Saccharomyces cerevisiae S288C: one gene and its partners. The protein of the gene in region 2 binds, or shares a complex with, the protein of the main gene of each other region. Each region holds a gene or a part of one and is shown on either strand. Other genes may lie near its edges. The genes, in order: CCL1, TFB3 and KIN28. A codon is read from its position in the direction of its gene.

The links.
Region 1: the proteins of TFB3 (region 2) and CCL1 are in contact, whole or in part, in a cryo-EM structure (PDB 6XI8), measured with the Saccharomyces cerevisiae proteins. Residues at the interface, in NP_010748.3 of Saccharomyces cerevisiae: Phe270 (codon at 2,912), Leu272 (codon at 2,918), Lys273 (codon at 2,921), Val276 (codon at 2,930), Tyr277 (codon at 2,933), Asn278 (codon at 2,936), Asp279 (codon at 2,939), Pro280 (codon at 2,942), Phe281 (codon at 2,945), Ile282 (codon at 2,948), Tyr302 (codon at 3,008), Arg304 (codon at 3,014), Val305 (codon at 3,017), Leu306 (codon at 3,020), Glu308 (codon at 3,026), Ala309 (codon at 3,029), Phe310 (codon at 3,032), Met311 (codon at 3,035), Gly312 (codon at 3,038), Leu313 (codon at 3,041), Gly314 (codon at 3,044), Cys315 (codon at 3,047), Val316 (codon at 3,050), Ser318 (codon at 3,056), Glu319 (codon at 3,059), Glu320 (codon at 3,062); in NP_015350.1 of Saccharomyces cerevisiae: Tyr49 (codon at 1,997), Arg50 (codon at 2,000), Tyr55 (codon at 2,015), Ser59 (codon at 2,027), Thr61 (codon at 2,033), Gln64 (codon at 2,042), Lys216 (codon at 2,498), Pro217 (codon at 2,501), His219 (codon at 2,507), Gly220 (codon at 2,510), Phe221 (codon at 2,513), Phe222 (codon at 2,516), Leu223 (codon at 2,519), Asp224 (codon at 2,522), Gln226 (codon at 2,528), Asn227 (codon at 2,531), Tyr230 (codon at 2,540), Met238 (codon at 2,564), Tyr242 (codon at 2,576), Phe260 (codon at 2,630), Tyr261 (codon at 2,633), Thr262 (codon at 2,636), Pro264 (codon at 2,642), Gln265 (codon at 2,645), Tyr282 (codon at 2,696), Ile327 (codon at 2,831), Leu332 (codon at 2,846), Ile335 (codon at 2,855).
Region 3: the proteins of TFB3 (region 2) and KIN28 are in contact, whole or in part, in a cryo-EM structure (PDB 6XI8), measured with the Saccharomyces cerevisiae proteins. Residues at the interface, in NP_010748.3 of Saccharomyces cerevisiae: Phe260 (codon at 2,882), Asn261 (codon at 2,885), Gly262 (codon at 2,888), Asp263 (codon at 2,891), Glu265 (codon at 2,897), Ala266 (codon at 2,900), His267 (codon at 2,903), Ile282 (codon at 2,948), Leu285 (codon at 2,957), Lys289 (codon at 2,969), Glu290 (codon at 2,972), Phe291 (codon at 2,975), Ile292 (codon at 2,978), Ala293 (codon at 2,981), Ser294 (codon at 2,984), Gly295 (codon at 2,987), Phe296 (codon at 2,990), Asn297 (codon at 2,993), Tyr300 (codon at 3,002), Glu303 (codon at 3,011), Arg304 (codon at 3,014), Thr307 (codon at 3,023), Glu308 (codon at 3,026); in NP_010175.1 of Saccharomyces cerevisiae: Leu111 (codon at 2,243), Arg115 (codon at 2,255), Tyr118 (codon at 2,264), Arg122 (codon at 2,276), Phe124 (codon at 2,282), Ile154 (codon at 2,372), Pro155 (codon at 2,375), Ala156 (codon at 2,378), Pro157 (codon at 2,381), His158 (codon at 2,384), Ala179 (codon at 2,447), His181 (codon at 2,453), Tyr182 (codon at 2,456), Thr183 (codon at 2,459), Ser184 (codon at 2,462), Trp229 (codon at 2,597), Glu231 (codon at 2,603), Ser234 (codon at 2,612), Phe235 (codon at 2,615), Pro275 (codon at 2,735), Gln276 (codon at 2,738), Val282 (codon at 2,756), Leu285 (codon at 2,765), Phe290 (codon at 2,780), Lys291 (codon at 2,783).

Annotation. Positions count from the first base shown.
Region 1 is NC_001148.4:612,801-616,410, reverse strand, and holds CCL1 (TFIIH complex kinase subunit CCL1), read left to right. Parts: upstream 1-1,852; coding exon 1,853-3,034; downstream 3,035-3,610. Other genes in the region: alpha,alpha-trehalase ATH1, read right to left, coding at 1-1,032. UniProt on the Saccharomyces cerevisiae protein: Regulatory component of the TFIIK complex (KIN28-CCL1 dimer) which is the protein kinase component of transcription factor IIH (TFIIH) and phosphorylates the C-terminal domain of RNA polymerase II during transition from transcription to elongation after preinitiation complex (PIC) formation, thereby positively regulating transcription.
Region 2 is NC_001136.10:1,381,707-1,385,290, forward strand, and holds TFB3 (TFIIH/NER complex subunit TFB3), read left to right. Parts: upstream 1-2,104; coding exon 2,105-3,070; downstream 3,071-3,584. Other genes in the region: HEH2 (Heh2p), read right to left, coding at 1-340; palmitoyltransferase PFA5, read right to left, coding at 613-1,737; MFA1 (mating pheromone a), read left to right, coding at 3,470-3,580. UniProt on the Saccharomyces cerevisiae protein: Acts as a component of the general transcription and DNA repair factor IIH (TFIIH or factor B), which is essential for both basal and activated transcription, and is involved in nucleotide excision repair (NER) of damaged DNA.
Region 3 is NC_001136.10:265,867-269,223, forward strand, and holds KIN28 (TFIIH complex serine/threonine-protein kinase subunit KIN28), read left to right. Parts: upstream 1-1,831; coding exon 1,832-1,859; intron 1,860-1,940; coding exon 1,941-2,833; downstream 2,834-3,357. Other genes in the region: YDL109C (putative lipase), read right to left, coding at 1-1,335; MSS2 (Mss2p), read left to right, coding at 3,055-3,357. UniProt on the Saccharomyces cerevisiae protein: Catalytic component of the TFIIK complex (KIN28-CCL1 dimer) which is the protein kinase component of transcription factor IIH (TFIIH) and phosphorylates the C-terminal domain of RNA polymerase II during transition from transcription to elongation after preinitiation complex (PIC) formation, thereby positively regulating transcription.

The DNA of each region.
Region 1 (3,610 bases), on a different chromosome or scaffold from region 2:
AACCGCATTATTTTTTTCGTCTGTTCCCGTGCTATGTAGAACAGTCCTATGTGATGTGTTGAAATCAAGTATATCCCATATATTAACATCTAATGAATCAAAATCCGAAGGTAAATGGTCCGTATTCAGGGAAATTTCCAAAGAAACCACTCCCAGTGGATGAATGTGCCGATGTGCCCAGATTTCACTTTTAACATGTATTTGACTGTTTAGCCAATCTAACTCCGTAGTTACGATACCATCCTTCATTGATAAGTTTTGGCTATAATTAGTTACGTCATCCAACGTAACATTTTGTGGATTGAACCACTTAGAATCATTCACTAATGAGAACTGTAGATTGGTCCATTGTGGAATAGATGAAATGACAGTGGAATATCCTACATCATCCAATTCTGGGAAGTTTGTTGAATTTAGTTTTGGTTGTAGACAATAAAAGTCCGATACAAACGCACCGGCAAATCTATGATTTCTTAAGGGCCAACCGTTATTCAAAGCGCCTGGTGCGTCTGTGTAAAAATTCAGGGTGTCTAAGGCATAGCCGAACCCAATATTGGGAATACGACTACCTATATAACCGTTAGCAACATATGGTTGTCTCGAGTATGTATTCTTTGAGAACAAGTTACTTCCCAAAATCATGTTCTCATCATCATAATATGCCGTGTTGAAATCAGAAAGGAGTTCATAAAGTTTTTTAGAAGATTCCCTTGCTTCTGGATCGTAGTTCAACGTATGATTTCCCAATGACGGCGATATCACACCCAGAGGGTTAAATAGGGCAGCCCTCGAGGCATGTGAGTATGTAAGCCTGGAACTCTTTGTTAAATATAATGCAGTGACGAAGATAGCTAATAAAAATAGCATCATCAGTAAAAGTATAGAGTTGATCAAGTCAAACCTTGAGAAAGAACGATAATTTTTAGAGCGAGAGTTATTACCGGTACTATTTTTGTTCCTCAAACTAGGAGAATTGTTAAGGTTTGAATAAGAAGCCTCCGCATTGAACCAAAGCGATCTTATTCTTTTCATTATTGGAATGAGGAAATTTCGGTAAAAACAGATGCAATATTAGGTGATACTAGCAGGCTCTCATAAAGGACTGATGAATCCTTTTTTAAGGAGCAATAAGATTCTTTTTTTTTTTTTTTTTACTTGAAAAAAAGGGAGTGGTAATATGGTGAAAAGTGGAGAAATTTTGTTATTATTATTCAATAACGACAAGAATTCTCTTTCCGAATATAAAAACGGCGCGGCTGTTGGTTTGTCGTGATACGTAGTGCTTGCTTGGACTTGGAAGTAAGACTATACCAAAAAGGAAATAAATTTTGAGGGGCAAAGAAGAGATGCTTGTACTGCCTTGCTGACTCAGATTGTTCGTTGATTTTGCTCAACTTTCCGCTTGCTTAGAGTGAACGTGATAGCTTTACGGCTAGAATCAAGATGAATGTTCCTTTCTTTTTCCGAAGTATTTGCCCTTATTGAAAAAGAATGATAAGGGATATACGAATAGACTGGTAAATATTGTAGATACACTTGTTTTTAGTGAAGCGAGAATAACAAAGCTTCAGCTAGAGACGTGACGGCTGAGAGGTGACCTGAAAGAAAGTAGTTATTGCTGGCTTGAAGAGTGAAATAACCTTGGTACAGACTTTGATAGCACGAACTGTTTGCCATCCAGAGAAGAAAGGGCCTCTCATTTCCTGCGGTATCCCTTCGTTGTTTAAGCCGTTCACAATCCGGGTAATAAATTTGATCTTAACACAGTTTTTATATTAAGAAAGATCTCAAACAAATGAGTGAATATTAAGTTTAAGAGAGGAAAATACTGTGCTGCACAGATATTGATAGAATGACGGATATTCAACTAAATGGAAAGAGTACATTAGATACTCCTTCTGCTACCATGTCAGCAAAAGAAAAAGAGGCAAAATTAAAATCGGCTGATGAGAATAACAAGCCACCGAACTACAAAAGAATTTCTGACGATGATTTATATAGGCACTCTTCTCAGTATAGAATGTGGTCATACACTAAAGATCAACTTCAGGAGAAAAGGGTAGATACCAATGCCCGAGCGATTGCTTACATTGAGGAAAATTTATTAAAATTTAGAGAAGCACACAATTTAACAGAAGAAGAAATAAAAGTACTAGAAGCAAAGGCTATCCCTTTGACAATGGAAGAAGAACTCGATTTGGTGAATTTCTACGCAAAAAAAGTTCAGGTAATAGCACAGCATCTAAATTTGCCAACCGAAGTAGTGGCCACTGCGATATCCTTTTTTAGGCGTTTTTTCTTAGAAAATTCTGTTATGCAAATAGATCCTAAAAGTATTGTACATACTACTATCTTTCTAGCCTGCAAATCGGAGAACTATTTTATTAGCGTGGACTCGTTTGCTCAAAAGGCCAAATCTACTAGAGATAGTGTTCTCAAATTCGAGTTTAAGTTGTTAGAATCATTGAAATTTTCACTGTTGAACCATCATCCTTACAAACCGCTTCATGGGTTTTTCTTAGATATCCAGAACGTCCTTTATGGTAAGGTTGATTTAAATTACATGGGCCAAATATACGATAGGTGTAAGAAGAGAATAACTGCCGCATTATTAACCGATGTCGTATATTTCTACACTCCACCCCAAATAACACTAGCAACATTATTGATTGAGGATGAAGCCTTGGTCACAAGGTATTTAGAAACAAAATTTCCCAGCAGAGAAGGTAGCCAGGAATCAGTACCGGGAAACGAAAAAGAAGAACCACAAAATGATGCCAGTACAACTGAGAAAAACAAAGAGAAGTCCACAGAGAGCGAAGAATATTCGATAGACTCCGCGAAGTTACTAACCATAATACGCGAGTGTAAAAGTATTATTGAAGATTGTAAACCTCCGAGTACTGAAGAGGCCAAGAAAATTGCGGCAAAAAACTATTATTGTCAAAATCCATCAACACTGATTCAGAAATTAAAAAGGAAGTTGAATGGAGAAGATACTTCGTCCACCGTTGAGAAAAAGCAAAAAACATGAAACAGCTCTGTTACCGTAGGTTTCTGTTTTATATATATATATAGATTAAGATGCATAGGTATATAGACCGGCGCCATTTTATATTATTTCATGCCATGAATATATACTGCAAAAAATGTGACAATGAGTAAATTGCTAACTAGCGCTACAATGTGATTATTTTTGCTACACACGTTTATCCATTGAATATTCTATTTACAATGTATGGCGTATTGATACACATGTACCTATATATATCAACAAGTGCTTTTATCTTAACTTTTATGAAAGATTAATGATTGGTTTAATCATCAACGATACTCCGTTCCATGGTGTGACTTTTTTAAGGCTTGTCACTGGGGGAAAGCGACGGTTGGTTAAGGGATGAAAGAAATTAATAACCCACTTGCGATCATCGGTTATCCTGAAGTATTTTGTCGCAAATACCCAAGCTTAATGCCTCTTTTCTTATCACAGAAATAATATTATAATTTCTCCTTACGAATAATCTGAAGTTTCAAGCTGACCAGGAGAAGATGTAGATTCTGAAAGTTTCCCGCGATCATGCTTCATTGCTGGTGTTATGAAGCAAAAGCG
Region 2 (3,584 bases):
CTTCATTATCCGTACTAATTTGTTCCCTTTTCCTCTTGTTAGTTTCAACATTTTCATCTTTGACAGTTTTACTCTCACTAGAACTTGATTCAAGCTTTTTACTCTTTAATGTCTTTTTGCGATCTGCGTTTTTTGCCCCAGACTTCACAACCTTTTGAATGCTAGTTCTAACCTTTGAGGCCTCAGGTGAAGATTGGAGACGTTGCCTCACTTTCTCCTCAAACAATTTCACCAAGACAGGCTTCCTAGCGTTGGCAGGGAACGCAACATCATTTTCTACCAAAACTCTTCTCAATTGGCTGACCTTCAGCGTTTTCGGATCAAGGTTTCTGTGATCCATTGTCGATTAGTGAAGATAGGAAACTTCCTTTTCTACTATTATGTCCGTTAAAGTTCATCCTACCGTTTCTTTGCTGTTAAAATCTCTCTTCTTTTTTATTTTTTTCAAACTTATCTCTTACTATTTATGGAAGGACGATCAAGAAAATGTATATACTATCCCTTCCCCTACGCATACAGAATATATTAAAATGAATAGATAATAGAAACATATACCGATTGTAACATGAGTTTCGTCCCAGAATATAAATTGCTTGAAAAATTTAATACTATTTAGTAAGCAGGATCACTATCGTCACCAGAAGCCCGCAATGTGGCCAGATATTCTCCTCTTGATATCTTGTCCTCAATGGCCTGAATGGTGTAGTCACTAAGAGTTTCTTCATAGGGACCCAATATTTCCACTAGCGTTGTTTTTGAACCGCTTTTGCCATCAGATTTGCATCGAGATGTATAGGGCTTGCCTAAAGGAATTATCCACATAAGTATGTTAGAACCCATAAAGTCTTTTATATTAGCTAAGATTGACTTTTTGTCCCAGAAAGAGTGAAATTCAGATCTATCGAACTCTACCACAAACCTCAACTTGTTTGCTTCCGAGTAATAACAAAATATCTTCCTTGTTCCAAATTTTTTCCTTTTGCTATCTATGATAGCCTCCAAAGACGTCTTGTTTTGACTCATGTAAAAAATACTCGATGCCAACAAACTTGCGGTTAATAACCATCCAAGGATGGCAAACACTAACGTTGAAATTATATTTGCGTTTAAATTGGGGCTATAATTATGATTGTGTTGAGTAATAATTCTTATGTAAACGCAAATAGACACCCACATGATAAGTAAAAGTGTTGAAAAATAAGCAGCAAACTGCACAAAGAGTCTATAATTGTCTCTACCAATAACAGTCCCTATCCACATGCAGTAATGATCAAAGCGAGGAATGCAGTGGCCTAGTTCTGAAGAATGATGCGTTCGTTCCATTTTCAGACTTTGACATTCACTGCACCATATTGGGTATCCGTGAGGATCAGACTGATAACACTTAGGCGGAACCACAGCATCGTATTCCACTGAAGTGTTTTGAGAAGTGTTGCTAGTCTTCTCTTCAGAGGCTATAGGAAGGATCAAAAAAGGTGCTACGTGCGGTTGGGTACCTGGACCGACCAAGATAACTATTTGAAGCCATATGAAAATCACGACTACGTCTAGGAAGCATACCGCACAAATAAGACCAACCGAAACTGATTTCTGACGAAGTCGTTTGTCGACTTGCTCGTAACATAGTTTATGGCAGTAAGCCCACGTACCGTAGCACAGTAAACCGAGCACGATAATCGGTAAGATGAATCTAAACCATGACCTGCGCCTGATTCGAATATTCCATGATAGAGCCATTCATATACAACGGTTTAATTTCTGCCGTGTCGCGATGAAAGGACCTTAGCTAGGTTCTGAAAATATTACAACGGGCAGATATACGCCTAATTAGTTGTTTTGTTTGAGTGCTGTGTTTATGCTACTATTATTTAAAACGTAAATAGTGGAAAAAAAAATCGACTAAATGGTCCAAATCGGGCCGTTCGCTCGTAAATTTGTTCTTAAGCACTAATACTAAAGAGAGTATACAACAGAACAGACGCACAAGACAGCACTCATCATCAGCTAAGAAACTGAACTGCTTGTTAAAATTTGAGTTTGTTTCCTCTTAGGATTTGCAGCATTAGTGGGCCCCCGCACACAAGTAAATATAAGTGAAAGAAAAATGCTTATGGATGAGTATGAGGAAAACAAGGACATGTGTCCGATCTGTAAGACAGATCGATACCTTTCTCCGGATGTGAAATTTTTGGTGAATCCTGAATGCTATCACAGGATCTGTGAGTCGTGTGTTGATCGAATATTTAGTCTCGGTCCTGCCCAGTGTCCATATAAAGGGTGTGACAAGATTCTTAGAAAGAATAAGTTCAAGACCCAAATATTCGATGATGTGGAAGTTGAGAAAGAAGTTGACATCAGGAAGAGAGTGTTCAATGTGTTCAACAAAACTATCGATGACTTCAATGGTGACCTTGTGGAATATAACAAATATTTGGAAGAGGTGGAAGACATTATATACAAACTAGATCACGGGATCGATGTGGCTAAGACCGAGGAGAAACTACGCACCTACGAGGAATTAAACAAGCAACTGATTATGAATAACTTGGAGAGAAGCAGAACAGAGATAGAAAGTTTCGAACAGAGACAAAAATTCGAAAAGGAGATGAAATTGAAGAAGCGACTGTTGGAAAGACAAATCGAAGAGGAGGAAAGAATGAACAAAGAGTGGACAAAGAAAGAAATCGTCAACCGGTTGAGTACGACCACCCAGGATATCAATGAAACAATCGAAGGCGTTAAAAATACGGTTAAATTGAAAAAATCGTCCGCTAGAAGGAAATTGGAAGAACTAAATAGAGTTCTGAAAAACAATCCATATTTCAATTCAAATGTGAACGTACAGAATTCGAGACTCAAAGATGCTGTACCGTTCACGCCGTTTAACGGTGATAGAGAAGCACACCCAAGGTTTACGTTGAAAGGTTCAGTATACAATGACCCATTCATCAAAGATCTTGAGCACAGGAAAGAATTTATTGCGTCTGGGTTCAACACTAATTATGCGTACGAAAGGGTGTTGACAGAGGCATTTATGGGCTTAGGATGTGTTATATCCGAGGAGCTTTAAAACATCAGGATAGTGTGCAACGTGGCATAAGCTATGTAATCAACTACTTTTTATTTTCTATGTACGCATATACATGCATTCACGATCTGTTTCAGTGTTCAGAAAAAAGGCACCTACTGCTACGGTTGGCCCATACCTTTATTCTTTGTTCTTGTTACAAACGAGTGTGTAATTACCCAAAAAGGAAATTTACATGTTAAATGAAACCCAGTAATCAGAAAAAACAGTTAAGAAACCTAAAATGGTAGAGATAAAGATACAGATTCAGTGGTTGCTGAAAATCAAGTAAAAAAATGAAATAGAGTCTTCATATATAAACCGCCAGAAATGAATTAATGAGAGGGATCTGTAACTGTTTCTCGGATAAAACCAAAATAAGTACAAAGCCATCGAATAGAAATGCAACCATCTACCGCTACCGCCGCTCCAAAAGAAAAGACCAGCAGTGAAAAGAAGGACAACTATATTATCAAAGGTGTCTTCTGGGACCCAGCATGTGTTATTGCTTAGTTTC
Region 3 (3,357 bases), 1.1 Mb from region 2:
GCTCTTCCAAAACGTGTTCCATGACGATGCATTGATTCCATCATCATCATTAGCAACATCGCTATGATTTGGAAGTTCCCCAATAGGACTTACTTCAGGCTGGAAGAGAGGATCACAAGGTGCCGTAGTTTGACCTCCCAGTTTCTGAAGTAATTGAGAGTAGTCCAAAAAAAGTAAAGAAGAGGAGTACAAGGGAACTATTCCGTCGTTGACGGCATTAGCATAAAGTGTTCTTCTTTTGAATCGAGCAAGCACACTGATTAAGGATTCCTCGGATAGCAGGTAAAGTAGGGGCTTATCACCATAATTTCCATCCTTAAGACCCAGTTCTTGCCCCGTAGTACCAATGATACCCATCGACAATGACATTTTTACGTAATTGGGCGTGCTGGTAGCAATGCCTAGCAATGGTGACGCCAGTGAGATAAAATTGATTGGCTCCACTTTCTTAAAGAAATATGGATATTTGGTCTTTATGTAACAAATAGCAAAAGTTTGTGTTAATCCACCCAGGGAATGACCAATAAATGAAATTTTCCCAACAGAGTCATCATATAACTCGTCGATGATGTAGTTTGCCAATCCAACACCCAAAAACTTAATACCCTTCTCAGTCTCACAAGCATTCTTCATATATCCCTTAATAACTAGTCGCTCATTTGGATTGTTCATTTGAGCCTTGTATATTTCTTCCATTAAGTATTCCATATCTGCCGAAACGTTTGATTGAAAACCATGCGTGAGAATGACTAAATGGGATTTTTGCGACATGTCTATGGGTCGTGGTACTTTCCATATATCTGCGGTGGTAAGTCTATGCACCGATAATCCTGTGTGTAAAATATTGCAGGCTTTATCAGGCAATGAATCATTACATCGTATTTTTCTTTTCAAAGAGGCCTTTGAATTGCCGACTACTATCTCAAAAGTTACCTTAGTTTCTTTATTAAATAGTATTTGACTGACAATATCCACTATCCATACATAGCGTGGCTTAATGTGGTGCAAGGACAACTCTGCAATAAACTTTTGTTGTGCCTGTAGGTTTGATTGAAATACTGGTTTATCCGCCGAACATATGATCTTATACGAGCTTTCGTAATCTTTTGCTCGCACGTCACAATATAAGATAAATGGGCCCAATAGATAGGCTGGTTTATAGGATAGCTTTGTGGTATTTTTGATCTTTACCCATAGGGAATCCAGTGTGATATCAGCGGGAATACTATCACCCTGGTATAGCTCATATGTAATAACGTATCTTTCTAACTCACCTAACTTTACTGACGACTGATTGTGGTATAGCACTTCATCAGCACTCCTGCCAGCTTCCATATTACTACCGTTTCCCCGATGTTTTTGGGTGAATAAGGTCAGGTGAGCATTTTTTGTACTGATATTTTTTCTCTTTGTTTGCAGACACAACGCTTGCTGTTAATACGCTAAAAACATACCACACTACCTTGAACAAATCCTCCAAGAGAAATTTGTAAGAATTCAGAAGCGGTTTCAGGGGAAGTCGGCTTAGTTGTCAATTGTAATTGAAAATCACCCTCTAATTTGAAAGATTTTCAGTTTCAATAAGACATCAATCTTGCCAGTTTGTAATTTTTTGGTATATAGAAATGGTCTTCAAGCATAAGCCTTAAGAAAGATTCGTCCATTGGATGAACCTACAATTTTTTTTGTGTTATGATGTGAAGCTTCATTTGAAGCATTGTGCAGAGAATATTACAAGTAGATTCAAAAAACACATTGAAAAAAAATACAAGTGAAATCACAGTTACTTAAAAGTCATCAAAAAAAATATTCCCGGCCTCAGAGCGAACATATGAAAGTGAATATGGAGTACACAAAGGGTATGTGGGGGTTATATATTGTCGTCTTTCTTTTAACATTCAATAATGATACTAACGTTGATTAATGATGATTCATCGCAGAAAAGAAAGTTGGTGAGGGTACTTATGCGGTTGTTTACTTGGGTTGTCAACACTCTACTGGAAGAAAGATTGCTATTAAGGAGATCAAAACATCCGAATTTAAAGATGGTTTAGATATGTCAGCTATCCGTGAAGTTAAGTACCTCCAAGAAATGCAGCATCCGAACGTCATAGAACTAATAGACATATTTATGGCTTATGATAATTTAAATCTCGTTCTGGAGTTCCTACCAACTGATCTAGAGGTGGTAATAAAAGACAAATCAATACTGTTTACACCAGCAGATATTAAGGCATGGATGCTTATGACTTTGAGGGGCGTGTATCATTGCCACAGAAATTTCATTTTGCACAGGGATCTGAAACCAAACAATTTATTATTTTCACCTGATGGCCAGATAAAAGTAGCAGATTTCGGTCTAGCAAGGGCGATACCGGCCCCACATGAGATACTGACAAGTAACGTCGTAACAAGATGGTATAGAGCGCCAGAATTGTTGTTTGGAGCTAAACATTACACATCGGCTATTGATATCTGGTCAGTAGGCGTTATATTCGCGGAATTAATGCTAAGGATACCTTATTTACCAGGACAGAATGATGTCGATCAAATGGAAGTAACGTTCAGGGCCTTAGGGACACCTACAGATAGAGATTGGCCCGAAGTTTCTTCCTTTATGACGTATAACAAGTTACAAATATATCCGCCCCCTTCAAGAGATGAATTGAGGAAAAGGTTCATTGCTGCTAGCGAATACGCCTTAGATTTTATGTGTGGAATGCTAACGATGAACCCACAAAAGAGGTGGACCGCTGTTCAGTGTTTAGAAAGTGATTATTTCAAAGAATTACCACCACCAAGTGACCCGTCTTCAATAAAAATACGTAACTGATATGATTTTATAAAATTTGTAGAATCTGTGTTATTGACATTAGATGTATCCTCAACATATACAAATAAACTTCTTGATGCGTCTTGTTTTTTGGTGTTGAATTTTAACTCTTTTCCATCATTATGGAATTCGTTTTTAGATTTTAACAACAACAATATGAGGGGAGACAAACAGTAGCAGACGAAAACGAAAACAAAAGCAAGAAATATCTGATCTAAAATATGCAGAGGTTTGTCAGTAAGTTTGTTTCCACACCACCAGTACCCAAAAAGTTTCAAGAGATTTTCCCGAAGAAACGTACGGTTAACAAAATTTTATTCCAGTTAGATACAAGGCTTACATACCATGAAATGTACCCGATATTTCTGCAGGTATCACAAAATACTAATGAAGAGAATATCCCATGGAGGAAGAAATACCCCTATATAAGGAGTTCAGACATTATGCAGATGCGAAACGTCTTGATAACTCTAAGGACGCAGAACAAATTCGTCCACAAAGACTTATTAGCTATGGAGGATAAA